Macaca mulatta: one gene and its partners. The protein of the gene in region 1 binds, or shares a complex with, the protein of each later gene. Links are inferred from orthologs where the notes say so. Each region holds a gene or a part of one and is shown on either strand. Other genes may lie near its edges.

Region 1 (4,107 bases):
CGGTGTACCAGAAATCTTTTATCTTATCTTACCTACCTGCATGTGAAGTAGGGGGGAAGTAGGGGAAAAGATTCCAGCTTTTCCTTGAAGAGGACCATTTTACTCTCTTAGGTGAAAATACATACACATTTTCCTCCTTGGTACACTGACTTTTTTTTTTTTTTTTTTTTTTTTAAAGAACATCTGAGTTCTGAAGCCCATGTGCTATGAGAGGTTTTACATCAAAACAAAATTCTTTTATCTCAAGATCACTGAATGTGTATCTTGAAACTTCATATTCAAGGTTGCTTCCAGTCCATCAACAGTAATTCCCTACTCTGATTCCCTACACAGATTCCCACACTAACCTGCCTACCCTCACGTTCTTGAAGTCAAAGCAGACTGGATCACTGATGTTCAACCACTTAATAAATCTGAGTATGTTTGTGTGTCTTGGTGACTTTAACCTTAGTCACAAAACTAGAAGCCTGGTCTATTTTTTTGGTTACAGTGTAAGTTTTCTTTCCTTGAAGACTGACTTTTCCAAAACCATCAAAGGAGAAAGGTGGCAGTAAGGGAGAAAAATAGAGCATAACTCAGAAACACGAGGCCCAACGGCAGAGGAAAAGCCGGCCATTGTTGTCTCATGAGTAGGCTCTAGTAATAGGAATATTTTGGGTATCTTTTGTTTGATGTTATACATTTGTGGCATTTGACATAAGGAATTAGGCTTTTGTAAGGGTGGGATGCCAAGAAAACTGTTGATACAAATAGAAAAACAGTCTGACATTGTCATTACCACGAGATAATTGAAATGCAGACTTAGGGAGGGAAAATGCCATGGAACATCTTTCAGATGTCAAAGCAAAATGAAGGAAAGACTGAGCTTGCAGTAATTATTGAAGACACTGTGAAGACCTTCTTTAGGACCCAATCATTTATCTCCAAAGCAACATGGCTTTAAAAATTAAAATGAGATCATTTTGAGATAACTCTTTTGATCCCATTTTAGTCTGGACAGAAAATTTAAATAGCCAAGGAGGAAAAAGAAACATTAACCAAGAGTTCTGGCTACCAAAAAGTGGCACCAAGATAAAATGCAGAACTGGGCCTAACTTTCTTCTCCCTAAAATAGTTTTGCAACTTGAGCTGCATTCCCCTGGGAAAGAGGCTGTGAATTCCATTAAAGTTCGCATTCCAACTGAAGTTTCCTGCCTCTTAGCCCTAAGGTCTACCAACCCCTGGACAAACCTATCACTCTTCCACACAAGAGGGTCTATCAAAGCAGTCTGTGGAGATATATAAAAGCCAGAGATCATCATGCCTTAGGGAGGTGATGAGCTGACAGGCTGACAGAAACCATGAAGTTCACATTTCAATCCAAGTTTTCCCGTAAAGCCACTGGGTGAGAGGCCCATCCCTACATAGGCTGGGAGCAGAGCAGGGAAGACAGAAAATACAAGGTTGAAAAGAATCAAGCAAGAAGGTGTTTTGTTTTGTTTTGTTTAGAATTCTAAAATTTAAAAGTAATTTTACTGTAACCTAAACTTGCAGCGATATGATATGGCCATGTAAACTTTTGTGGCACTGAAATGTTACTGCAGGAATGGCTTCTGGGTTTTAAAAAATTACAAGAGATCATGAGCAGGGTAATTATTTAGCTTTAAAAATCAACCAATTAATATACAACTGGAAATTCACAATGCTTCGAGCCTTTGTTCAGCCTGGTACGCCTGCATACCAGCCGCTTCCCAGCCACCTGTCTGCCGACACGGAGGTCAAGTTTAAGGGTACTTTGGTGCACGAAGCTCAACTCAACTATTTCTACATCTCTCCTGGAGGTAAGAAACCCTAAAGCGAAATAAAGAGTAGGAAGAACATGTGGAAATTTACTCTAAATATTCTAATGATACTTAGAATGTGACTGCCTCACTCTAAGAACTCATCTCTCCATATTTAATCAGGATTTACCACACACCGTTGTGAAATTTTGCCTATAACTGCACCATCCTGGTTTATGCCGTTCTTTGGAAATTCTCAATTGAAAAAAAGTGATGTTTGAGGCAACAGGAAATGCAATACTGCCTTTACATAATAAAACACCAATCTTTTACTTTCCTTTTAACTCTGTCAGAAAGATCAAGGAGATCAAAATTTCCGTATTAGACTTCATGTCTGGATTTTGTAGGTCCACAAAGACAAGGCAGAGAGCAAGCTGATTATATTCAATAGTGGTGTTTTCTTTTTTAAATTTCTTCAGTGGAAAAATAAAAAGCTGGTCAAATTTTAAGAGGCTAGTTAAGAGGCCATTAAAGGTGGTATCAATGTCACTCAAATGCACATTTTCATTTGTAACCCTTTGATTCTTATTAGCATGGTGCATTAGTTCATTTTACATGTTCTTTGGGGATTTGCCTCATCTTGTTTATGTTCCTAATACTTCTGTTCGATCTGTTCTTTTAAGATATTTATAATTTGTTTTATATTTTACCCGGATACCATACAACTCCAAATCATGAATGATAGCTTATAATTGTCTAATGAGGACATGTGATAATGTTTGTGTAAATTTTTAAAAGAAGATATATATCCATTCAATTAGGAAGTGGATGATAAACACATAATTACATGGGTAAAATTTAAATAGGCAGGACATCTGATTTGGTAATGTTCTTTCTAATATAATTTCACTAATTCCTCTCAAAAGGATAGGGAAATATGTTTTTCTTAGTATCCAGCAAGGAAAGCATTTAAGTTCCTTCTTTTTACTTGGAAAGCCATGGAAACAAGGGAGTGTTAAATTACACAAACCTCTTCTGGGCATCTAAGGATAAACCAAAAATTTAAAAATTCCTTCAAACTCCATTCCTTTCATGAAGTCTTTCTCAAAAGAGTAGAATAGTATTTTCAATGTAAGGATGGAGAACATCTAATCATATATTTGTGTAAACACTTGTTTCTGAGATTTCATTCAAATATAGTATTTCTTGATTTACTGTACCATTTATCTAGATCAAGCTTTAATAAATTTGGCCATCCTGATGATGACTACTTACTAGCATATGGTAGTACACATGCACACACAGTTACTAGGCATTTGAAAGACCTCAAGATATTTTAAAAAAAAACAGAAAAATAGAACCATGAAATTTTAGAGCCAGAAGTCAGGTAAGAAGCATGCAGTTCAATAACCTATTTCCCTAATGAGGAATCTGTGGTCTAACAAGGCTAAACAAGCTAGCCAAAGTCATTTTTCTTGGTTTAATCTGTTTCCCCTAAAATATGCCCTTCTCCTAGCCTTTCAAATGAAATAGATGAAGCATTCAAATTTGTTTTTACATATTGGATTGAGTTCTAGGCTTGGTTATAAAAGACTGGAATTAGTCTTTTTAAACCAAAGTTCATGTGGACTCTCTAAAGGAAAAAAAGAAGGATGGAATGAAGGGGGGGCGGAGATCAGTGAGGAAGGGAGGGACGGAGGGGGAGAAAAAGAGAGAAAAGAAAGAAGAAGGGAATTAAGCTTTCTGGTAGTGGCAATGTTTTCACAGCAGTAAACACTCGAGCAGCAGTGACGCTGCCTGCGTGCTGGCATCCATAGATGGGAAACACAGGCTGTGTTTGGCCGGCTCTATGCGGATTCTGTACTTCTTCCCCATTTGGAATGTTTGCACTCAAAATGCTTTCCTCCAGCATGTTCTCTAATGCCTTTAAAGTAATGTTCTTCCATTCACCTTCCGCCTTAGCTTTACTGACCAAACACGGACACAATCTTGTAAAATAAAATCTTCACTGGCCACTGAGAGTCTACGTAGCACTGTTATCTTTGGCCCTTGGTCTGCTTCTCTTCATATGACATGGTTTTACTGCACCTCACAAATCAGTGATCCCATGACCTGGGAAGAATGAAAGGTTCAAAGCAGATGAGAAGCAGTTTCTATTTTACGGGTGACTAATACTCATGAACATTTTGGGGGAAACAGTAGTAACAACCTTCCCCTTTCTAAATAAATTAACGTTATTAGAAAGTTAATGCCATTAAAAACAAACAAAACTATCTTAATTAAAGCTTTATACTAATTTGGATTAAATTAATATGTACTCTCCAACTATAAATGAGAATTTATTACT
Region 2 (4,190 bases), on another chromosome or scaffold:
TTATGGAGAAGAAGATTTTTGGAAGTTCTTTTTCTCTATCATCTTTTTCGTGATGTCATTCAAAGTTGAAACATGTAAAGCATTTACAACAATATTCGGCACATAGGGTTACGTGTATGTGCCATTATTATTGTTGTTGTTGTTAATAATAAATGAGAGGCCACATATGAACCCGCTTCCTCCCTCCAGACAAGAATGGTCCCAGGGGGCACAAGAAGGGCATATGGGGAAGGAGAAAGATGTCCATTTGCAGAGAAAAGAGAGGGAAAAAGGCAGGAACATATTTTGGAAGATGACTGGGAGAAAGGTAGTGCTCAGTGTCACAAGTGTGGGAAGTATGGTTCATAGCTGGTTAGGCTAAGAAGGCAAAGAGGTAGATCCTGGTCAGGCTCAAGGCCTGTTGGTCCAACAAGCAATGCCTGTTGGTCCCCTGTAATTGGTCTAGTCACCTCTCACCAGCCTGTCTCTTCCTTGTGTGGACTCTGCTCACTGCCCAGTCCTCTGCTCTGACTTTAAAAGGCAGATGGTTCCAAGGACGGGTGAACAGGACTGTAACAGCACGTCCCTATGCGCGGTCCCTGAAGAAGCTGCCCTGCCCTGCCCTGCCCAGGGGAGTTGGCTGGAGGGATTGCCTGTTTATGGGTGTGCTTGGCAGTCGCCAAGGGGCATGGGCATCCGGGCTATGCGATACCCTGCCAGCACATGGCCACACCTGTCACCCTCAGCCCTGGGACTCGGTGTTTCTATAACAGTTGGGCACTTACGAGTCTTCTGGGCGTCCAGTGGGCGTGAATGAGGGAGGGGATCTCTGGAGCAAGCAGCAGGGAAAGAAGAGGGAGCAGAGATATGGGAGGTTGGGGTGTTGGCTCTTTGGTTCACATGCAGACTGCAAGATCTTTGGGGACTCAGCCCTAGTGTCCTTGAAGGACAGGTTTCAAGGAACACCAAAGTCTGGTAAAAGAGGGAATAATCCTGAAAACCAGGTGGGACATCACACTGACATAACCCTGCTCCACTGCCACTGTGGATGGGCGTCTGTAAACCTGGGAAGGGATCTTACATTGCTGAGAGTCAGTCCCATATTTTATAGAGGAAGAAGCAGAGGCTGAGATGATCTTTGTCCTCGCTGGATGGTCATTTGAGGGTAATGGGCAATGGTGACTAGATCCCTGGCCGCCTGGTCTCCACGTAGCACCCTTTCCTCTAAAGTGCTGTATTTGCTAAGAATCCAGAAGCCTCGGCATTTGCAGAATAGAGGCTAGTCATGCAACTACCAGGTACTCCTGAAAAGGAGCTTACCTTCGACATGTGGTTCGGTCACATGGTAGGAAATCGAGGAATACGCTTAAATTACAGGGTGAGGAAATGCTTTGTAACTCTGACAGGGTCTGAGCTAACGGAGGATGCATAATGGACTGACGTCCTGACAAAAGGGCGGGCGGAGGCCAGGCACGGTGGCTCACGCCTGTAATCCTAGCACTTCGGGAGGCCAAGGCAGGTGGATCACCTGAGGTCAGGGGTTCAAGACCAGCCTGGTCAACATGCCAAAACCCCGTCTGTACTGAAAGTATAAAACTTAGATGGGTGTGGCGGCGCATGCCTGTAATCCCAGCTACTGGGGAAGCCAAGGCAGGAGAATCACTTGAGTCCAGGAGGCGGAGGTTGCAGTGAGCCAAGATTGTACCACTGCATTCCAGCCTGGGCGACAGGGCAAAACTCTGTCTCAAAAAAAAAAAAAAAAAAAAAAAAAAAAGGTAGGGGCAGGTGGCTCACCCACAGCCACGTCCTGCTTCACAGGCATTCAACCTGTGCAGCTTCTCCAGGCCCAGGGCCCACAAGGGTCCATGCTTGGATTCATGTGCTGCTATCGCTGCCTTGAAATCCTTGGTAATTTGGAGCAAGGAACCCTGCATTTTCATTTTGCACAGGACCCTGCATATTCCGTCGCCTGTCCTCTCTCCTCCCCTGCCTTGAGGCCAGGGACAAACCTGCCAGCTCCATGGTTTCCCCCAGCCTGAGGACACAGAGCCACCCAGCATGTCTTTGCAGGGAGAGAGTGACCAGATGGAGCCCAGAAGTCCCTGGGCTGGTAGAGCTGCGGTTCCCGTCTTGAGCCTGCCCAGCTCTCTGTTCTGGGCGAAAAGCCCCAGGGTCCAGCCAGACAGAAATAGCTGGGACAAACGCCCTCGTCTTACAACCCAGCCCCAGCCACCAGCACAGCACATGCAATTCAGATCTTCTTCCCTGGGCAGAAAGGGCTGGGCGGCTGCCCTATCTCTAGCCTGAGAAACCTGCCTTCCTTGGCATGGGCAAATTTGTCCGGGGGACGACGGGGAAGGGCGGGAGGTGGGGATCGGGACGGAGGGTGGGTACGTTACCCCCGGGCAGGGTGATGGGCCCGCAGGTCTTGCTGTCGTCCATGGGGATGCGCTTGGTACAAATCCGCCAGAGGCCGAAGTGGGCCGCCTCGCAGGTGGTGTTGTGGTGCTCCATGTGGGGGCTCAGCACAGCCCAGTGGTCGGTTACCACGGCCGTCATGGCCAGCACGATGCCTGCCAGGATGCAGAAGAGGGTCACGCGGACCTTCAGCGTTTTGGTCTGGGACATGGTGGTCGCCGAGGCGTGGGTGCCCTGGGCAGGGTCCGGCGGCTGCGTCTCCTCCGGCAGGTGACAGCCGAGCTGGGGGGTGGCGGTGGTTGTCGAGTTGGGAGTGGCCACTAAGTTTAGTGTGCCTGGCTGAGCCAGAGTGGGCTGGCCCTGGGGCTGAGGGACGCGGGATGTGCTGAGCAGCTGCCCAGACGCGTCAGGGGCCTGAGGAAGGCTGCTATTAATGCCCCTCTCCAGGCGTGGCACCGGGGACGGCTTCTGCTCGGGTTTCAGCGCTGTCTGCCCCTCTGGGAGCCAGAAATACCCCAGTGGGGGGCGGGGCAAGGAGAGAAGGCTCTGGATGGTGGATTGAGGCCTCTATGGAGTAGCAGCTCAGGGTGCCTGAGTTGGGAGGGGGCGAGGGGTGGGCAGCAGGGCCCCAGGGGTGGAGATCTGTCTGCTCTGGGCTGATGGGAAAGGGCACCCCAGGCCAGGGGAGGAGACCAGGAGCTGCAGGCTGCACGGCCGTCCCGGGCTCCCACATTGTAAGCCTACTACCGGCGGGGCAGTGAGTAGGTTCTCATCCTGGGATCTGGGGGGCCTAGGATTCTGTCTAGGGACATCCCAGGGACCCTGTCCGGGGCCTGTGGAGTCCACCTCTCAGGCAAGCGTTTTAGCCACAAACCCCACAGCATCCCGCAAACCACAGGAAGATTTTAGGTGGTTCCCAGGCCTGGCCTTACCCAACTCTGATCCCTCCACGAGAACATTACTTCCTTTTCAATTCTCTTTCCATCCCCAAAACTGGGTCCAGAGCAGAGCTCCGTTCGAGGTCAGTGTCATTACTGCCCGCAAAGTGTCCTCTGAAACAAAGCGAGAACGGCCTGAAGAGGACGAGGAATCCTGCTGGACTTGGTTGTTCTGTTTTCAGGGCACTGTGTTTGGTTTTGCCTTCTACTAACAGCAGGTGATAACGATTTTCCAGTTACGTTTTAATTTGCAAAATATGTGTGTGAGTGAAAAAGAACGAATAGGTTGATTTATAGGGGATCATCAGGAGCTCATGGGTGTGCGGATATGGCAGAGAACACAGAAAGCCTGGGATCGACCACCCTCCGAGGGTCCTGTGCGCCTGCCTGGCCCCCAGGCCTGTCCCCGAGGCTGCGGCCTCTACGTCTCTCCTGGGTTGTGCCATCTCTCCCTTCTCAGCTCACTGGGTGGCCCTTTTTGGGTGTAGCCGAGAGGCTGATGCATGATCAGGAATAGCCTCCTGAGCTGGGTGGGGCCTTGAACTTCAAAATTCTTGCCTCAGATTGACACGATTTACAGAGACTCTGCCCATGTGGACAGAAACATTTCGGCCTCCAGCCTTGGAATCACAGAAAGTTCATGATGATGATAATAGGAGCAGTGGCTCATCTTCAGTGAGTGCTTACTATCTAACAGGCACTCTGCTGAGCCTTCATCCATCATCGCAGTTACTCTTCACACCAAATCCACAAGGGGACTGTGGCTGTTTTTGCCATTTCACAGTAACACAACTGTTACTGCCATTTCACAGACAAGGACATGGACACTCAGAGACGTGAAGTCACTTGTCTAAG
Region 3 (2,916 bases), on another chromosome or scaffold:
TTTTTTTTTTTTTTTGAGACAAGGTCTTGCTCTGTTGCCCATGTTGGGAGTGCAGTGGTATGGTCTCAGCTCACTGCAGCCCTGAACTCCTGGGCTCAAGGGATCCTCTCGCTTCAGCCTTCCAAGCAGCTGAGACTATAGGTATAGGTGCATGCCTCCATGATCGGCTAACTTTTTTTTCCCCCCTATAGAGATCTTTGTCCTTCCCCCCTGCTAAATCTTCCTGTGTTGCCCAGTCTGGTCTAGAACTCCTGGCCTGAAGTGATCCTCCTGCCTTGGCCCTCCAAAGTGCTAGGATTACAGGCATGAGCCACCATGTCTGGCCAGAACTGGCATTATATTTTGAAAAAAACCGTCAAAACACCTGTCACAGAAGAGAATCCTCATCACTTAAAGTGGTATTCATTCCAAAGTAAACTGTCCTCCCTCCTTCCATGATCATGTTCCTTCCATGATCATGTGTTTTGCGCACAAGTAATCCAAATGATGCTTATAGCTTACAAAAAGCTTCAGTACATCCTGCAGTAACTTCACGCTGTTAATATCTAACACAAGATCCTGGTTCCAAAAATTTGGCTTGTATGATGAGTCTATTTGGAGTTGGTATATTATTCATTTCTGATCATAGAGAGCAAGTTGTCTGCTCTTAGTAACTGAGACATATTTTCACATGGTCTTAAATCAATTTCTAAGGAATAAGTTAACTAGATTCTCACTTGTCGTCTATGCTTTACATACAATGCCTTGGGGCTATAGAGCTTTCCTAGGTTTAGTTTTGGAGGCAGGGTCTTGCTCTGTCGCCCAGGCAGGAGTGCAGTGGTGGCCTCTCGGTTCACTGTTGCAACCTCTGCCTCCCGGGCTCAAGTGATCCTCCCACCTCAGCCCTCCAAGTATCTAGGACTACAGGCACACGCCACCATGCCCTGCTAATTTTTGTATTTTTAGTAGAGATGGGACTTTGCCATGTTGCCCAGGCTGATCTTAAACTCCTGACCTCAAGTGATCCGTTCACCTCAGCCTCCCAAAGTGCTGGGATTACAGGCATGAGCCACTGCGCCAGGCTTTTTTTTCAAGCATAGCTATTTCAGGCGCTATGAATATTTGATTGCTTAATGTATGTTAAAATTTATAATAAACACTAAAAAATCTTTTGAAAAATGACTTTTTTTCTTCTCAACTGTGAAGTTTGGACAACGTCAAATTATCAGTGGTTTCGGCTGCTTCTGCCAAATTTCACATCCTAATCTTACCTTATTAATTTCTAAATTCAGATTTCATAATCTTGGGCTGGGCATGGTGGCTCATACCTGTAATACCAGCACTTTGGGAGGCCAAGGCGGGCAAATCACTTGAGGCCAGGAGTTCAACACCAGCCTGGCCAACATGGCAAAACCCCATCTCTACTAAAAATACAAGAATTAGCCAGGCTTGGTGGTAGGCACCTGTAACCCCAGCTACTTGAGAGGCTGAGGCAGGAAAATCGCTTGAACCTGGGAGGCCAGGGTTGCACTGAACCAACATCAGGTCACTGCACTCCAGCCTGGGCAACAGAGTGAGACTCTTGTCTCAAAAAAAAAAACAAAAGAAAGAAAAAAGATTTCATGATCTTGATGTCAAGAATAGGCTTCTATCCTATTCTGTTCAAATATATATACATCTCGTTTGTATCATAGTATCCATGCCTTTTTTCATTGCTGATAGACAACTTTTCTGTGCTGCCATGCCCTTAACAACTGTTACCTTTCTGGCCATTATTAGTTAAGCATTCAGTGCCCTAAACAATGATTTGAGGTAGTCAGACACTTGCTAACTAAATAAAAAAGGAGATAGTAGCAGCGCTTATAGAAGCAGGAGCAAGTACAAAGGGGTGCAGCTCATGAGCCCCTTCCTCCTCTTATGGAGGTGGGAAGGGGCTGCGTCAATGTGGTCTGGAATGTCTGCCTCTGCAGGAGTTGTTCGATGTGATCTTGGATGAGAACCAGCTTGAGGATGCCTGTGAGCACCTTGCCGACTATCTGGAGGCCTACTGGAAGGCCACCCATCCTCCCAGCAGCAGCCTCCCCAACCCTCTCCTTAGCCGTACATTAGCCACTTCAAGTCTGCCTCTTAGCCCCACTCTAGCCTCTAATTCACAGGTAAGGGGAGTTTTTCTATATATCTATATATACAATCTTCATAGGAAAAAAGGTAGCCTATGGTGACACCTCCAGGATCCAAGCCCAGTAGCCTGCTTGGGGCTTGTTCTAGTATATTAACTCAAAGCAAGTCCAGCATGAGCCATGTACCTGTAAGAAAAGCACCATCGACAGAACAAACATAGACTACAGAAACTTTCTACAGTAGAAACTTTCTACTTTAAACAGTAATATAGACTGTGGAAGCGGATCACCTGGATTCAAATCCTGGCTCCACCTCTTACCACTTGTGGGGCAGATAACCTGGGGCAAATTTCTTAACTGTTCTTACCTCAGGAATAATAATGGCAACCTGTCCATGAGGCTGCTGGAATTAGTAATCTCATGAGATGATCTTATAGGGCTGTTGTATTAATGAGTTATTATATACAAACGGTCTAGAACAGTGCCTGTCCCATATTGTATCACTGTATCATATAAGGATTTGCTATTTTTAATATTATCACAGTCAAGCAGAGATAGTTAAGTTTACACCCCTGTATAGAAAAATCTCAGGGACCTGCATCTATATTTGAGCTGCAGGAGAATATATAAAAGAACACTTGCCCTGCCTTTTTTTCTTTTTTTTAAGGAAAAGGTTACCATGCACACTGTTCTAGGCACTTACAAAGTCCAGTTTAATACACTACAAGCCTTATAAATGCCACTGGATGTTACCAAAGGGATGAAGCTAGGTTAGACTTCATTTCGGATGCTTAAAAAGGACTCCACTTGAATGCGC
Region 4 (3,500 bases), about 53 Mb from region 1:
ACCCTGTGCCAAGATTATTTCTGGGGTTCAACCCCCACTTTTCCTGCTGCCATCCAGCCTCATTTTGTTCTCAGGAGAGATGAGCAACAGCGGGCAGACTCTACTCTTCTGTAAAACGAAAGAACCTTCCCCCTTGTGCTATCTTCAGGCCTTTGGTGTACTATAGACACTGTCTTTAGCCTAAGACTCGAGAGCCTGGGCTGACCCCCAGCTGAACAGCCCTCTTGCTCAAGGCAGGGTGGGGGTAGAGGGCACAGTGGACAGCAGGTGTGTGATTTTGCCTTCTCCTCTGAGAGTCTGGCCTCTGCTGCCTTCTGTAGGTGGTCGTGCCCAGTGAGCTTGAGAGAATATTCCTCCACCCAAGGACATTCTAAAGCCCCTTCCCCTATACACACACACACTCCTGCATGAACCCCTTATTTAGGCTTATCCCTTCTCTCTGCCACTGGCATCTCAGAATCGTGGGAAGTATCACTTGAGGCTTCTCCCCACAGAGAGGGAATACTGAGGCAGGAAACGAAAGACTCTTTCCGTAGGCAGAGGAGGAAACCCAGACATCCTAACCTCTGGGCTCTTGTCTCGAAGTCCAGCATCCCTTACTCATTTGTGCCTCTCCCTCATGGCCTTGAAGCTGAGCTCTGTGACCCTCAAATGCACCCTCATTGCCTATGACCTTTTCTATGGGCAGGACTCAGAGACTCTCCTTGCTCATGTTACCCACTCCCCACATCCCCAGGGTCCTGCTCCATAGCTGAGTTGCCTGGCACTAGCATAGCCTTCTTCTAGGGCCAGTGTCCCCTGGGCCTGGGAAAGGACTGGGGAGATGTAGGCCAAGTGGTAGGCATGGCCCAGCCTCACCTGCGTCCAGGGAGACAGCTTTGTGTTCTTCTCGGTCTGTGTCTTGTTTGCTGCCTATATCTGGCCAGTTGCCCCAGCAGGTGTGGGAGGAAGAAAAGTAGGGGGTGGGGAGAGCAAAGGGGAGGTAACTTCTAGGAGTTGGCAGCTTTGTGTCCTCCTCTTCACCCTGGAAGGGGAAGGGCTCACCATTTGAGAGCCTTCAGAGCCTTGTTGGAGTAGGGAAAGTAGGATCTTAGGGGGCAGATGGCTGGATCCCCACACTCAGGACTGGTGCTGTGCCAACCAGCGTCTCTTGACTGTTACTGCTGGCTGGACTCCTGCCAGGCATCTTAAAGGGATGATGTCCAGGCTGCTTTGCAGGCTGCTGTGAACAAGAGGGCTGGGTCTCCTGGATCCAGAATCATCTCTAATACATCATCTTCAGCACTCCTCCCTTCCCTCAGCTCAGAGGACATGTTAGAGGGGAGAAAAGGGAGGAAAGAGAGAAGTGAAGGCTCTATTCAAAGCTGTAGTATTAATAGGTTTGGGGGAGGAGGGGCCCAGATCTTTGCACCTATAGATGGGGCCAGGTTTCCTGTAGCCTCAGAGGCACCGGGGCCCTTCTCAGGGGATAGGAGGGGCCATAGGGACCCAGCCACCCCCTTGGAGATGGAGAAACGGGGCAATAGAGGCAACACTGTAAGGTGAGGAGGGTGCCTCCATAGCGTCCTTCACGCCGGAGCCTGGGAGTCACAGCCTGTTTCCCAACCCAGGGTTCAGCTGACTCCTACACCAGCCGCCCATCTCTGGACTCAGACGTCTCCTTGGAGGAGGACCGGGAAAGTGCCCGGCGTGAAGTAGAGAGCCAGGCTCAGCAGCAGCTCGAAAGGGCCAAGGTATACTTTCTGGGCATGGGGCAAGACAGGAGGCCAAACTAGGTGGAAACCTGCACTTGGTCCTAAGTCCCAAGGTTTCCTTGGGCAGGATGTCCTTGAGTGTGAGAGGGTGCATGTGAGGGGCAGAGGCCACGGCCTTCTGCTGTTGGGGCACTGAAGCTGGAAGGGGTGCTCCGAGGCTTCTCTCACTTGCACTAATGGCCAAATTCTCCAGCACAAACCTGTGGCATTTGCGGTGAGGACCAATGTCAGCTACTGTGGCGTACTGGATGAGGAGTGCCCCGTCCAGGGCTCTGGAGTCAACTTTGAGGCCAAAGATTTTCTGCACATTAAAGAGGTGACCGACCCCCGTGCTCTAACACTTCTAAGCCTCTGACACTTCATTTTCTTGCTCTTGCCCCAGATCCCAATGTTTCTTACTTCAGTCCTCAGTCTAATTCCCCAAGCTAATCAGCTCTTCTCCTTAACACCCACCTGTCCACCCCTCATATCTAAGACCTCATCCCCAGGGTCTCCATCCTTCTGAGACCTGGCTTGGGCCTCAGTCTCCATGTCCATCAAGTGAGCAGTTAGATTAGCTGCCTCCGAGGTCCCCTATGACAGCTGCAGTGCCTCACTCAGAAATCCTGGGTGGCCCGAACTTGGCTGCCCTTTCCCCTGGCCCCTTCTGCCCACCGCCCCTTGCATTGCATTCCTTAGACCAGCTCAGTGACTGCCTCGCTGGCTTCTTCACATTGAAGAACCAGGACTTGGGCAGGGCGCTCCTCTCACCACCCTTCCTGCTCCACCCACCCCCAGAAGTACAGCAATGACTGGTGGATCGGGCGGCTAGTGAAAGAGGGCGGGGACATCGCTTTCATCCCCAGCCCCCAGCGCCTGGAGAGCATCCGGCTCAAACAGGAGCAGAAGGCCAGGTGAGAGTTGGGCTGTGACTCAGTAAACACACCCCAAACACTTGAACTGTACCCACAGGACACATCGTCATGCATGCCACACACATGCATATCCCCCTGAAATACACATGCACATATGCCCGGCTCTACACACTCACACTAAACAAATCTACAAACACACACACGAATGCACACATATTGTGTGTACACCTGTCTCACTAGATAAAGCATATGGAAATGTGTACAATTATTAAATAATGCATAGAACATATGTACACAAAGACACATTCTTCTCTACCTCTCTCTCGCCTCCCTTTCTTCTCAGGAGATCCGGGAACCCTTCCAGCCTGAGTGACATTGGCAACCGACGCTCCCCTCCACCATCTCTAGGTAGCCTCCCCTCAACCCACCCATTTTGGGTAGGTGGGTAGCTAAGACACAGGGAAAGGGGGGATTCTGCCCAAGTGAACTGTGTGGGAAGGGGTTTTGTGGAGGGATCAGAAGGGGTGGGGAGAAGCCAGTATCTCCCTGGGGATGGGGATACCGTGCCCCCAGGGACCTTTCCCCCTTCACCAACTTTAATCTTGTATTTCCTTTTCCGAAAAGCCAAGCAGAAGCAAAAGCAGGTAAGTCAAGGAAGGGACCTGGGCTGGGGGGGATCATGGCTTATGGCTCTGGGGACAGTGTTCTAGGCAGTCATTGTTGGAGGGCAGAACAGAGACGGGAGGGAGCCCAGAACCTCTGGATCTGCCTTGACACCAGCCAGGCATGAGACAGGCACTAGGGCCATGGTTTCTACTGACCTCATGTCCATTCTGCAGGCGGAACATGTTCCCCCATATGACGTGGTGCCCTCCATGCGGCCTGTGGTGTT
Region 5 (3,963 bases), about 62 Mb from region 1:
TCCTTTCTTTTTTTTTCGCTCTGTCACCCAGGCTGGAGTGCAGTGGTGCAATCTCAGCTCACTGCAAGCTCCGCCTCCCGGGTTCACGCCATTCTCCTGCCTCAGCCTCCCGAGTAGCTGGGACTACAGGTGCCCGCCACCACGTCCGGCTAATTTTTTGTATTTTTTAGTAGAGACAGGGTTTCACTGTGTTAACCAGGATGGTCTCCATCTCCTGACCTCGTGATCCGCCTGCCTCGGCCTCCCAAAGTGCTGGGATTACAGGTGTGAGCCACTGTGCCCGTCCATGTCACCTCTTTTCTACACCTTGTTCCCCAGAGCCTACTCACGATCTTGCCGAAGCATCTCTGCATTTCCACATAGGACTGACAGTGTTCATGGATGTTGGTTTTGCAGTTCTTACAGCGAAGCCCAAACTTGTTGTTGACTTGGGAGAGGGGGAGAAAATTCAGATAAGATTCCAGATTGCCCTTTCCCTTTGTACCACTGCTGCTACTCTTAGGTTCCCTTTTCTGTCTGGGACCTTACTTGCTCAATCTCTAACAGCATTGCCTTACACCAACTCTAGCCACAGCCCATCTGCTACAAATACTCCTCTTGTATGCCCTCTCCCCAACCTCTGCCTTCAACATCATACTCTCTTCACTCCCCTTTATGACTCACGAACAATCATCCGGGCACAGACATCACAGAACTTTGGCTTCTTGAAGAAATGATCTTTGAATTTGTGGGGCTTATCGTTGACCAGCTTAGGAGGTTCTGGGAGTGGCTCCTCCTCCTCCTCTTCTTCTTCTTCCTCTTCCTCATAAATGTAGTAGATGGGCCCACCCCCAGCTCCCACTGCCTCCCCATTGGCCTGGGGCTCTGGGGGAAGTTCCATTTCCTTTGTCCCTGTAGAACCCTTCCTGAGTAACTGCTTCAGCCGCTGTAGCTGAGGGAGGGAGTGAAGAAAACCCAACGTTAAAAGGACTTGTCACCCTCTCTAGAGTAGGGGGGTGTTAGAGCAAACAGACAGTTTTCTAGTTTTGGGCAAGGAATGTACCCCAGGATTAGGCAGGTATTGGTATTGGGGACTGCAGGTGCTGGCCAGCAAAACATGAGTCACACACAAATGAGATCAATTTAAGCACTCTTCTTCAGCTGTAAAGGTTTCCTGGCCCCCCACACCCAGTGGTCACAGGCCCAGACTCACCCCGCTTTGCCGAGTCTCTGCTGGGAAAGAGGGCTTAGGGGACTCCAGCACCTCCTTTTCTGTCATCCTGCAAGAGGTTGGACCCCACTATGAAATCTAATCCCTTTCACTCTTCTCCCCCTTATTTCTGTCCCTTGCAGTAGGGCGGTACTCAAAGGGAAGGTTTTTGGAGAAACGTGATTAGAGATTTTGTTGTTGTTGAGATGGGGTTTCACTCTGTCACCCAGGTTGGAGTGCAGTGGCATGATCATGGCTCACTGCAGCCTTGACCTCCCAGCCTGAAGCAATCCCCCTACCTCAGCTTCCTGAGTAGCTGGAACACAAGGTGCACACTACCTGGCTACCTTTTTATTTTTTGTAGAGACATGGTCTTGCTTTGTTGCCTAGGCTTACCCGAACTAGCTCAAGCAATCCTCCCGTTTCAACCCCCAAAGTGTTGAGATTCCAGGCGTGAGCCACTGCACTGGGCCAAATACAGATCATTTGGCAGGTTTTATTAACAGATTTCATGGAAGTCTAGGAAAAAGCCCAACATGACCAGGCGCGGTGGTGCATGCCTGTAATCCCAGCACTTTGGGAGGCTGAGGCGGGCAGATCACTAGAGATCAGGAGTTCAAGACTAGCCTGGCCAACATGGTGAAACCCCATCTCTACTAAATATACAAAAATTAGCCGGGCGTGATGGTGGACACCAGTAATTCCATCTACTCAGGAAGCTAAGGAAGGAGAATCGCTTGAACCCAGGAGGTTGCAGTGAGCCAGAATTGTGCCACTGCCCTCCAGCCTGGGTGACAGAGCAAGACTCCATCTCAAAAAAAATAAAAAATAATAAATAAATAAATAAATCCCAACAGACTAAAGAGCTCCCCAATTAGTTCCTCAAACTGATACTCATCCTTCCATCCTGAGGGGAGACCCCATAGTTTACAGCCCTTACAGTGTTCAAGGCTGCATGGTTTATGTTATTTTCCTATAGGTACTTTGTTTCTCTTGGGAATCTGTGGGCAACAGAGATGTGATGCATACCTTCCCAGATCTCCTCTCTTCAAGAGGTTTAATGTGTGTCCTCGTGTGCGCACAAGGAAGGATGGACTGCAGACATTTGTCCTCCCCTACTTCTTTCTTGAGCCCTGGGGGCCCTGTGCCTAGTTCTGTCCCAGCCTGCCTCAGGGCTCAGCTATTTTAAGTTTTCAGGGTAATATGAGCCTTTCCTTCCCTTACTACTTCATTCCCTTTACCCCACCCCCACCCCCCCTCCAATCCTAACTCATCCTAGAGTAGAATAATAATTTTACTCCTAAAACCCAAACGACTCACAGACAAGGAAAGAAATGAAGAAGCTGAATAGATTATAGATCAGGGCAGCTGGCGTGAGCAGTCGTGGAAATCGAGAGGATGAAGAGGTAACTTACGTTTGGGATTCCCTAAATCAGTCCACAGTCTGTAGAGGGAGCTGGGAGCCCCGAGGCCTTGATGGTGGTGCTGGGGAAAAACTGGTCCTCTTCCTTGGGGGCTAAGCCCCCCCAGTACCCTGTGTTCACACCAGCTACCCAGTCGCTATTTGTAGACCTCCTAACCTCCTGCCTTGGTGTCAGGGCTGAAATGACAGGGCTGGAGGAAAGTGAACAGCTGAGAAACACAGCTGACACAGAGAAATTGGACACTGAGAGGTCTGGGGCAGGGCTGGACCCTAACTCCTCCCATCCCTCCAGAGCTGCTGTTCCTTGATTCTTCATCTAAGGTGAACAGGTGAATAATGGCCAAATTCAGCAAGGGACAGTTTCTGTTCATGCTCATATAACATTTAAAGGGAGTTTATTTTTATTTTTCATTTATTTTTTGAGACAGGGTAAAAAAAAAAAAAAAAGACTAATTCGAACGCATAGAGCTCTCCTATCAGCCATACTAGATGGCTTTCTTTTTTTTTTTTTTTTTTGAGACAGAGTCTTGCTCTTGTCACCCAGGCTGGAGTGCAATGAAGTGATCCGGACTCACTGCAACCTCCCAGGTTCAAGCGATTCTCCTGCCTCAGCCTCCTAAGCAGCTGGGATTACAGGCGCCCACCACCATGCCCAGGTAATGTTTGTATTTTTAGTAGAGACGGGGTTTCACCATGTTGGCCAGGTTGGTCTCAAACCCCTGACCTCAGGTGATCTGCCTGCCTCGGCCTTCCAAAGTGCTAGGATTACAGGCGTGGGTCACCGTGCATGGTTAGATTGCTTTTTATCTGTGGGTGGTTGGAGAAGTACTTTGCTATCCTGTAAGAAAGTGAAGAATATGTAGTATTGCTTCATTCCCTCCATCAGCTCCCAGAGACATCTCCCCACCCTCCTTCTTGCAAAATTTTGTCCTCAGGGTGAATGGAATTACCAGGGCTATTAAAAAGGGCCAGTTAACACTAGACAGAAGGATATAGCTGCCACATAAGGAATCTTTTTAATAATTTCTAAGTAATGTCCCCTTCCTCATGAGAACTGCAAACTCTTAAAGGTAGGATGGCCAACCTCACACTTCCTAAACCCTTTTGATTCCCTGATTCCATCTCCCACCTTTGATGCCTCAGTATGTAACTGATGGATCAAAGAGACAGATGCCATTCTGATCTCACAGGGGTTTACCCTTCTCCTACTCTTTGGGCTGTGACATAGATGAAAGAGGAGATACTCCCATCTCAGGGGAGAGCAATTTAGAGGTGGCAATGCAGTGCTGCTTTATTCCTTGTATCTGTAAGAAATAAAGGACTGTGTTGGAGACTGAGTCAGGCAAGCTCC
Region 6 (4,297 bases), on another chromosome or scaffold:
TCCATGCCTAGCATAAAACAAACTAAGTTAAGTCACGGTGGGGTGCCTTTTGTGAGGCCACTCAGAGTAGAAAGAAAGAAACAAAGAGCCAGACAGAGATGCAGAGAACATAAAGAAAACAAATAAAGCATTAAAAAAGGAGAGATAAGTAGGAAGGAAAAACAATTCATGATGCTAAGCATCATAAAATCACACACGCTTTTAAAATCTGGTCAGTAGTTAATAGTAGTACTAGTATTATCAGTCTTTGTTTTGGGAGATTGCCTTCAGAGAGCTGGAAAATCCATTTCCGATTAATAAGGGTCTCTTTCTTTCAGAAGCTTCTCCTAGAAATAAGAACGGGCTAATTAAAAATCTGACAGTCACTCCGATACTTAACAGAATTTTTGCATATGCAGGATAGTCATCACAAATTGTATTCTCTGCACGTCATGTCAAAAGTATTCTCATACACTACTAGAGGGAGCTTAAGAATTTAAGGTGTGCAAGGATATATTTCCACCTTTGGCCCACCAGGGGCCCTTTGGATAGGAGTCTTGTGCTGGACAGGAAAGGCCTATTCGCAGACCTTGTTTTTTCAAGGAGAAAGCCCGCCACTGCTTCTCCTGAGTCTGGAGGTAAAACCAGTCCGACATTGCTACTCCCTAGCTCTCTCCCCCTCCCTTAATTCCTCCTCTACATTTCAGGCGCATTTCACAGAGTGCCACCTGTTCCTGCTGCTTACCCTTTTCATGCCTTCGCATTGACAAGAGTGAGCTCACCCTTCGGCAACCTTTGTCAGGCCGGGCAGACCAGTGGCCAGAGCAGGGCATTAGGACCCTTTTGGAGGCAGTCCCAACTGAGATGCTGCAAAGCCCTTCTTTTACTACTGTCCTCCCTAGATGCAGAATTCGTCCCTCCGCCCCTCTGTCCAGTGGAACCACAGGACTGGAAGATTTTACAGCGTCAGTACTTCTCTGTCAGTCCACAGCCCGGTGCCCGAGGCTCTGTCCTGGCCAGGTGAGCCGAGCAGTACCTGGGCGTGGGGCCGCTGGCACAAAGGACACCCGGCCCCGCCAGAGGCTATAACCTATGGCACACGCGGGCATATAGTGCCACCTGGTAGAGTCAACAGTGGTGCTTTAAAATGCAATACAAACCCCTCCTACATTTGTTGTCAAATCACTTCACGATTCCTAGGCAGGCAGTGGATTCTGCGCCTGGGAGTAGGGCTGGGGGGAACGCTGCCTGCATGTGCAAAAATAACTCCCGAAGACGCGAGCCAAGTCCTGGGTTGGAGCCTCTGCAGCCTGTGGATGCCCGCTGGGCGGCTGACCGTCCCCCGGGAGCCCCGCGGGGCTGCTCCGCTCCCCCTGCGCACGCCGGGCGGCGGGAGAGAGCCGGCGCCGACTTTGGGAGTTCCTGGCTGCCTTGTATGGAGGGCTGCTCCCGGCCCGTCTCCGCCCGACTGCTCTGACGCCCAGCCCTCCCGCTGCCCACCCCCAGCCGCCTCCCTCTGACTTGCCTGAGAAGCCAGACGGAGCCTCTCGCTTCCACAAGTCTCTCTGCCTGCCATTCCCCCATTCCTGCAGCCACCCCCACCCTCCAGCGCCGTCACCCCTCCTCCGCCCCCGCCCCCGCCTCCGCCTTCGCCTCGGCAATCGGGGGAATAAATCAGGGAGGAAACCGAGAGGGAGAGCGAGAGCGCGCGAGCGCCTGCGGGCTCGCCGAGGTCTGTTTCCAAAGTCGCCCTTGATGGCGGCGGAGGCAAGGCGGCCGCGGCGCGGAGCAACCGACGCGCGCTAGTGGGTCCGCCCGCCACCGCCCCTTCTCCGTCGCCCGCTCCCGCCCTCGCCGTCCTCCGCGCGGCTCCGCGCCTCGGGCCCCGGGCGCTGCCGGCCCTCCAGACGCCCGCGGTCCGGGCGGCGTGTGCTGCTCTTCCTCCGCCCGCGGTTTCCAGCGCCGCTCCTTCCCCCGCTTGGGCAGGGAGGGGGCATTGATCTTCGATCGCGAAGATGGCTGCTGGCTGCCTGCTGGCCTTGACTCTGACACTTTTCCAATCTTTGCTCATCGGCCCCTCGTCGGAGGAGCCGTTCCCTTCGGCCGTCACGTAAGTCGGCGGGCCGGGCAGGGAGCGCCGGCCGAGGGGCGCCGCGGGAGTCTGGGGTGGGGGTCGGTTCCCGAGTCGCGGGGCTTTTCCGCCCGTGGGGGTGGGGAGCGAGCGGCCGGGGAGCCGGGCTCGGATGCGGAGAGGCCGGGCGGGCGGTGCGCGCCGCTCGCCGCTGGAATGCGCCCCGAACCGGCGTCTCGGGCGCCTCCGCGGGGCCGGGCACGGGGGCCGGCTGTCCCGGGAAGCGCCCGCCGACGACTTGCGGCGTCTCAGCCAGTCTCTAACGGGATTCTCTAGACTTCAGAGTTCAGCTGTACTGGGGAAAAAAGTTTCCAGCCAGCTCACCCGTTCTCATTCAACCCAGTTCAATAAAAAGTTATGTTTTGGTTGGGTAATTTACAAATAGGTAATTTCAGGCTTGCGGAGGTAGCGTGGACTTCTCCCGCACTTGGCCTCCGAGATGCTCTTTAATTGCTGTAGTGCCCAAACTCGTTTTATCCCACATTACTGGAAGCACTTGACAGCCTTCCAGTTAGACGCGTGCTGGCTCCCCGCGGCCGAGCGTGCTGTCCACGCAGGGGGCTCGCAGGTACTGGGACCGAGCGATCCAACCTCCCCAACCCCATTATTTGAAACATCTAAGTGTCGGCAGACACGCGGTCCCTGTTCTTCAAATGAATAGAGCCTGTTCTTTGAAGGAGGGACTGTTTCCAGTCTCCTGCAATTTTCTTTTATTTTTAACATTTCTAAAATAACTTTTAAAAACCTCGCTGCTGTTCTGGAAATAGAGGGCTTATAGGTAGCTATAGTCACACGACAGGAAGGGAATGAAAAATAATAATTCTCTCCTCTCTTAGGCAGCAAAATAGAATCAAACTCAGTGGCACATATAAATATATACATATTTCTTAATGCACCGAATAGCCTTCCCGGCTTTCTGGGAAAGCATTTATTTTGGTTCTTGAAGCTTCTTTAAAGCTTCTAAGGGTAGGTAATCTTAAGTGCATGAGTCACTTTAATGCATTTTACATAACAAAAACAAAGCCCAAGGTAGCTTTCCCGGTATTTATGCTGCTGGGAATTATTTGCTGTCCTTTGTTGGCTGAGTGCTGAATACAGTTTTTGGTGGAAAGTAACAGTGAATCTTTACCGGTTGAAACCCTGCGGCTATTATTTAAGATTCAGTTTTAAGTATTTATTACGTTAGGTGTCAGTGCAAGAATCTGGAGGATGCACATTCTATCCCTTAGAAGGGGAGTGTCAAATTTTTGTTGTCATTGATTTACAGTAATGTTCCTCTTTAGGTAATCTTTCATAAAACTGATTGCAGATCCTTTTTGTTATGAAGCAGAAGGGTAAATGCCATCTGGAGATCTTCGTTTAATTGGCAGGATGTTCCAGTCGGATATTTTTGAACATAAAAAGAATAAGAATCACCCTAAAGGGTGCTTCAGAATTATTTACTCTTGTTAAGGCATCACACTTCCATTTAATTTTTTAAGCCTTTTTGTTGCTTGGCCTGTAAAGTGAGAACTCAAGTGAGTCGCTTGCATTCTGTGTCAAATAAAGAAGTGGCTCTTTAAAAAACAGTCACTTTCTAAATGTGTTCCTATTACTCATTTTTACACTGTTGTTTTTAACTGACAATCTATCAATATTTTTGTCATGGGAGGGGATACATCATCATACCATTGGAGAAAGCTGCAACAAAATACAACCTTTTATTCCTCAACATACTATGGTAAAACATTAATGTAAAAATCCTTATTGTAAGAACATCTGCAATAATGCTTTCCTAAAATTATAAGTAAATCAATTTTCATGATCAGAAATTTACTAGACAGGAAAGAGTATAAATAGTGGGCTAAAATGGGAAGTAGGACACCACAATTTCTTTTCTTTGAAGGGATCTGAAATTTTCTTAACAATGAAAATTCAAGATATTTTCAGATTATATAGGACATTGATTATTTCATGAATGAAATACTTAATGAAAGGTTTTGTGGAGCGAAGTCAATCTCCTGTAGGTAATCTTAGCAATATTTTTGGAAGCCTTCGGCATCTTCAGTTTTTCATTTGAAAAGTTAGTAACACTGTCTTCTGAGGAAAGAACTGATGGTTGACATTTGTACTTCATGTTAGATTTCTGAATAAACTTTATGAAACAAAAAAATGCAATTTTTTTTGCATGAAGATGTGGTGCCATTT
Region 7 (3,500 bases), on another chromosome or scaffold:
GGAGGCTAGGCTGGGGGCTTGCTTGAGTCCAGGGTATAGTGAACTATGATCACACCACTGCACTTCAGCCTGGGCGACAGAGTGAGAACCAGTCTCTAAAATAAAAATAAAAAAAGGAGGGTGGGCAGGCCTACAAACAAGGTTAGAGAAGTTGGGAAGAAGAATCACTACCCTTCATACAGCCTCTAAGGAAGTCTGGCATGAGACCAGGAGAGAGCCTGAGCCCTAGACATAGGGCTGCTGAGGTCATTTCTGCAGAGGTGCCCAGGGCTGAGAGTTATGGAGCATTCAAGGGCCCTGACGCTGGCTCTCCATGCTGATCCAACCAGGACCCGCCTCTCTGACTGGGTGCATTGCCTGAGTCCCTCTAGTTCCTCTTCCTTTTCTCCCTCCCCAAACCAGGTACTTCAGAGGCTCATCAAGTCCCGAGGAAAGTCTCAGTCCAAACACCTCAACGTCCAAATAGCGGCCTCGGAAAAGCTGGCACAGTGCCCACCTGTGAGTGCCTAGATCCCGGGGAAGGGAAGGGAGGGACGACATTTGGGTTGCCCCGGTTTCCTCTGGCCTACATGAGAGACAGAGTGACCAGGAACACCTGGGTCAGGCCTGTAGGTGCAAACTGGTCTTCCGAGAAGAGTGCAGGTCCGTCAGTCAAAGACTGGGTTCAAGCCCCAGAAGCACCCTTCACCGTGGAGAGTCAAGCCCTGTCTCCCAGCCTTGGTTGCCTTATCTCTATGAGGGAGTTGGACTGAGTGCCAAAACTTCTTGCAGTTCTGCCAATCTGTAGATCTGAGAGCCCTCCTTCCCTTCTTCCACATCCAGAGGCCTCTTTTTAACCTTGTCCTTCAATCCCTTGACTCTACCCACTGCACCCAGGCCACACCCTCAACCCCCTTGGCCACGCCCCACTCATTCCAGCCCTGCCCCCTAACCCCACCTTCACAGGAAATGTTTGACATCATCCTGGACGAGAACCAATTGGAGGATGCCTGCGAGCACCTGGCAGAGTACTTGGAAGCCTATTGGAAGGCCACACATCCGCCCAGCAGCACGCCACCCAATCCGCTGCTGAACCGCACCATGGCTACCGCAGCCCTGGCTGCCAGCCCTGCCCCTGTCTCCAACCTCCAGGTACAGGTGCTCACCTCGCTCAGGAGAAACCTCAGCTTCTGGGGCGGGCTGGAGTCCTCGCAGCGGGACAGTGCGGTGCCCCAGGAGCAGGAACATGCCATGTAGTGGGCACCCTGCCCGTCTTCCCTCCCGCTCTGGGGTCGGAACTGGAGTGCAGGGAACATGGAGGAGGAAGGGAAGAGCTTTATTTTGTAAAAAAACGTGATGAGCGGCAGTTTCTGGTGTCTGTGGTTTTTGATGGGTCTGGGGCTTCTGGTGCTGTCTTCCTGGGCCTGGTGCCATAGGACCGCATCTGCTGCCCGCTGGATATGAGGCCTGATGGGAGCACTTTTAAGACAAGGGACTAGGAAGGACATGCGAGGAAGACTGATAAACTAATTCGCTGGACTCCACACCCTTTTTAGACCCAACAGAGCGGAGGCCCTCAGAGCCAGGGAAACCTACGTTAAACCTGGACTCTCCCTCCCTGGAGCCCTGACTCCACACGGCCCCTCAAGAAGGACCCAGAATGTGGCATCTTCTATGACTTGATGCTGAATTTTCCACCATTCTCCCAGTTAAAGTCCCGGAAAGGCCCTCCCATGGGAGACCCATCCTGCCTTGCCCTCCTCCCATGGGAGCCACAGCCCACCTCTTGATTCCACACCATTAAGTATAAGGTTCTAAGAGCCAGAAGAAACCCATGAAATCATTCTAGACTAGCTTTCAAATTTGTTTTCAGCAACAGAGCCCATTTGTTCAATGAATCTTGTGTGGAAGCTGAGGATGTAGATAATACATCCTTGCTTTGCCCTGAGGGAGCCAGGGGAATGGCCTCCCCTCCACCTCCATGGGGACCCCTGAAGCACTTCTGTGCCCTCCCCACCCAACCCCACCCCAGATCTCTAGGTAACAGTTTGGAAACTGCTGCTCAGGTCTAACTCCCGTCACATTACAACCAAGACATGAAGCCACAGAGAGGGGAACTGTTTGCTCAGGGTCACACAGCTTGACATGGCAGGGGAGGGACTGGAACCTCTCTTGTGCCCCACCTCCATGTGACATTTGGTGGTGAGGACACTGGGTCACCTCTTCATCTTCAGTAGGAGGGGGAGACCCAGCAGCCTTCCCCAGCTTGCTGCTTTGAGTCCTTGTTGGGGGCAGGGGAGGAATCCCATCAGCCTTGGAGACAGTGTCATCTGACTAGGGAATGGTGGGAGAAGCATGGGGTTCTGGAAGCCTAAGGTTGGGGTCTGGTGTGGGTCGAAGAAGCCAGGGTCAGCAGGTTTTAGCTGAAATCTCGTTAATATATTTGGAAAACCAAAGGCAATGACTAACCCAATCAACCACTAATGAGTGGCAATACTGAGCTGTTAATGATGATTAACCCCAAGATAGCATTAATGACCTGCACCGGGGAAGCGGTGACTCATGGCTCACGGCTGACGGCCATGAAGGTCGGGTGCCCCCTGTCTGGAGAGAGGAGCAAATGCCCTGAGGTCTGTCCTCTGGCTGGGCTCCAGAGCCATTTGTCCCCGGGGCCCCTCCCCTAGAGCCAGCACCCTCTTCATCCAGGCCGGACCTCTTAATGCTGTCACTAACTTGCCTTGCTTTGTTGTGTTTTTCTCACCCCTGCCTGATCTGCATGGTGTGTGCTGTCCGTCTGCTAACCAGGGACCCTACCTTGCTTCTGGGGACCAGCCGCTGGAACGGGCCACCGGGGAGCACGCCAGCGTGCACGAGTACCCAGGGGAGCTGGGCCAGCCCCCAGGCCTTTACCCCAGCAGCCACCCACCAGGCCGGGCAGGCACGCTACGGGCACTGTCCCGCCAAGACACTTTTGATGCCGACACCCCCGGCAGCCGAAACTCTGCCTACACGGAGCTGGGAGACTCATGTGTGGACATGGAGACTGACCCCTCAGAGGGGCCAGGGCTTGGAGACCCTGCAGGGGGTGGCACCCCCCCAGCCCGACAGGGATCCTGGGAGGACGAGGAAGAAGACTATGAGGAAGAGCTGACCGACAACCGGAACCGGGGCCGGAATAAGGCCCGCTACTGCGCTGAGGGTGGGGGTCCAGTTTTGGGGCGCAACAAGAACGAGCTGGAGGGCTGGGGACGAGGCGTCTACATCCGCTGAGAGGCAGGGGCCACACGGCGGGAGGAAGGGCTCTGAGCCCAGGGGAGGGGAGGGGAGGGAGCGAGGGGCTCACACCCAACATGTATTCGCCTCCAGGGGGCGCTGTCTCCCGCCTTTCAGATGCCTTTGCTCAAAGCTTGGGGTTTATTCGGCGTTATCATCCCAGCTCCCGGGAGGCCCTTAAGCCCCAGCTGTCGGTTTTTACCTGCCTGTTGCAGATGGATGGGGGATACCCACTTTTCTGAAGTGTC

Evidence for each region.
Region 2: CACNA1C (region 1) and CACNG1 share a complex: the UniProt entries of both Homo sapiens proteins name them as parts of the calcium channel complex. The link is inferred for Macaca mulatta from reciprocal best matches to the Homo sapiens genes CACNA1C and CACNG1.
Region 3: CACNA1C (region 1) and CACNB2 share a complex: the UniProt entries of both Homo sapiens proteins name them as parts of the calcium channel complex. The link is inferred for Macaca mulatta from reciprocal best matches to the Homo sapiens genes CACNA1C and CACNB2.
Region 4: CACNA1C (region 1) and CACNB3 share a complex: the UniProt entries of both Homo sapiens proteins name them as parts of the calcium channel complex. The link is inferred for Macaca mulatta from reciprocal best matches to the Homo sapiens genes CACNA1C and CACNB3.
Region 5: CACNA1C (region 1) and STAC3 share a complex: the UniProt entries of both Homo sapiens proteins name them as parts of the calcium channel complex. The link is inferred for Macaca mulatta from reciprocal best matches to the Homo sapiens genes CACNA1C and STAC3.
Region 6: the proteins of CACNA1C (region 1) and CACNA2D1 are in contact, whole or in part, in a cryo-EM structure (PDB 8WEA), measured with the Homo sapiens proteins. The link is inferred for Macaca mulatta from reciprocal best matches to the Homo sapiens genes CACNA1C and CACNA2D1. Residues at the interface, in NP_955630.3 of Homo sapiens: Phe147, Pro148, Glu149, Asp150, Asp151, Ser152, Asn153, Ala154, Asn678, Lys1090, Gly1091, Asn1092, Tyr1093, Ile1094, Tyr1096, Gly1099, Val1101, Pro1104, Ile1106, Arg1109, Tyr1156; in NP_001353796.1 of Homo sapiens: Thr170, Asp171, Tyr173, Ile233, Leu235, Gly262, Ser263, Ser265, Lys270, Thr274, Ala327, Lys328, Gly329, Ile330, Glu366, Gln391, His392, Tyr394, Ile416, Gly417.
Region 7: CACNA1C (region 1) and CACNB1 share a complex: the UniProt entries of both Homo sapiens proteins name them as parts of the calcium channel complex. The link is inferred for Macaca mulatta from reciprocal best matches to the Homo sapiens genes CACNA1C and CACNB1.

The regions. Positions count from the first base shown.
Region 1 is NC_133416.1:2,838,580-2,842,686, forward strand, and holds the start of CACNA1C (voltage-dependent L-type calcium channel subunit alpha-1C), read left to right. Parts: upstream 1-1,307; 5' UTR 1,308-1,681; coding exon 1,682-1,820; intron 1,821-4,107. UniProt on the Homo sapiens protein: Pore-forming, alpha-1C subunit of the voltage-gated calcium channel that gives rise to L-type calcium currents. Mediates influx of calcium ions into the cytoplasm, and thereby triggers calcium release from the sarcoplasm.
Region 2 is NC_133421.1:76,795,464-76,799,653, reverse strand, and holds the start of CACNG1 (voltage-dependent calcium channel gamma-1 subunit), read right to left. Parts: upstream 2,801-4,190; 5' UTR 2,608-2,800; coding exon 2,379-2,607; intron 1-2,378. UniProt on the Homo sapiens protein: Regulatory subunit of the voltage-gated calcium channel that gives rise to L-type calcium currents in skeletal muscle. Regulates channel inactivation kinetics.
Region 3 is NC_133414.1:20,104,062-20,106,977, forward strand, and holds part of CACNB2 (voltage-dependent L-type calcium channel subunit beta-2), read left to right. Parts: exon of another isoform or gene 1-105; intron 106-1,949; coding exon 1,950-2,135; intron 2,136-2,916. UniProt on the Homo sapiens protein: Beta subunit of voltage-dependent calcium channels which contributes to the function of the calcium channel by increasing peak calcium current. Plays a role in shifting voltage dependencies of activation and inactivation of the channel.
Region 4 is NC_133416.1:55,982,146-55,985,645, forward strand, and holds part of CACNB3 (voltage-dependent L-type calcium channel subunit beta-3), read left to right. Parts: intron 1-1,610; coding exon 1,611-1,733; intron 1,734-1,947; coding exon 1,948-2,070; intron 2,071-2,531; coding exon 2,532-2,647; intron 2,648-2,951; coding exon 2,952-3,016; coding exon of another isoform or gene 3,017-3,045; intron 3,046-3,232; coding exon 3,233-3,252; intron 3,253-3,447; coding exon 3,448-3,500. UniProt on the Homo sapiens protein: Regulatory subunit of the voltage-gated calcium channel that gives rise to L-type calcium currents. Increases CACNA1B peak calcium current and shifts the voltage dependencies of channel activation and inactivation.
Region 5 is NC_133416.1:64,408,989-64,412,951, forward strand, and holds the start of STAC3 (SH3 and cysteine-rich domain-containing protein 3), read right to left. Parts: upstream 2,801-3,963; 5' UTR 2,605-2,800; intron 1,260-2,604; exon of another isoform or gene 1,259-1,259; coding exon of another isoform or gene 1,193-1,258; intron 932-1,192; coding exon of another isoform or gene 881-931; coding exon 664-880; intron 428-663; coding exon 330-427; intron 1-329. UniProt on the Homo sapiens protein: Required for normal excitation-contraction coupling in skeletal muscle and for normal muscle contraction in response to membrane depolarization. Required for normal Ca(2+) release from the sarcplasmic reticulum, which ultimately leads to muscle contraction.
Region 6 is NC_133408.1:136,992,560-136,996,856, forward strand, and holds the start of CACNA2D1 (voltage-dependent calcium channel subunit alpha-2/delta-1), read left to right. Parts: upstream 1-1,497; 5' UTR 1,498-1,994; coding exon 1,995-2,089; intron 2,090-4,297. UniProt on the Homo sapiens protein: The alpha-2/delta subunit of voltage-dependent calcium channels regulates calcium current density and activation/inactivation kinetics of the calcium channel. Plays an important role in excitation-contraction coupling.
Region 7 is NC_133421.1:63,504,483-63,507,982, reverse strand, and holds part of CACNB1 (voltage-dependent L-type calcium channel subunit beta-1), read left to right. Parts: intron 1-402; coding exon 403-498; intron 499-945; coding exon 946-1,131; coding exon of another isoform or gene 1,132-1,236; exon of another isoform or gene 1,237-1,345; intron 1,346-2,784; coding exon 2,785-3,249; 3' UTR 3,250-3,500. UniProt on the Homo sapiens protein: Regulatory subunit of L-type calcium channels. Regulates the activity of L-type calcium channels that contain CACNA1A as pore-forming subunit.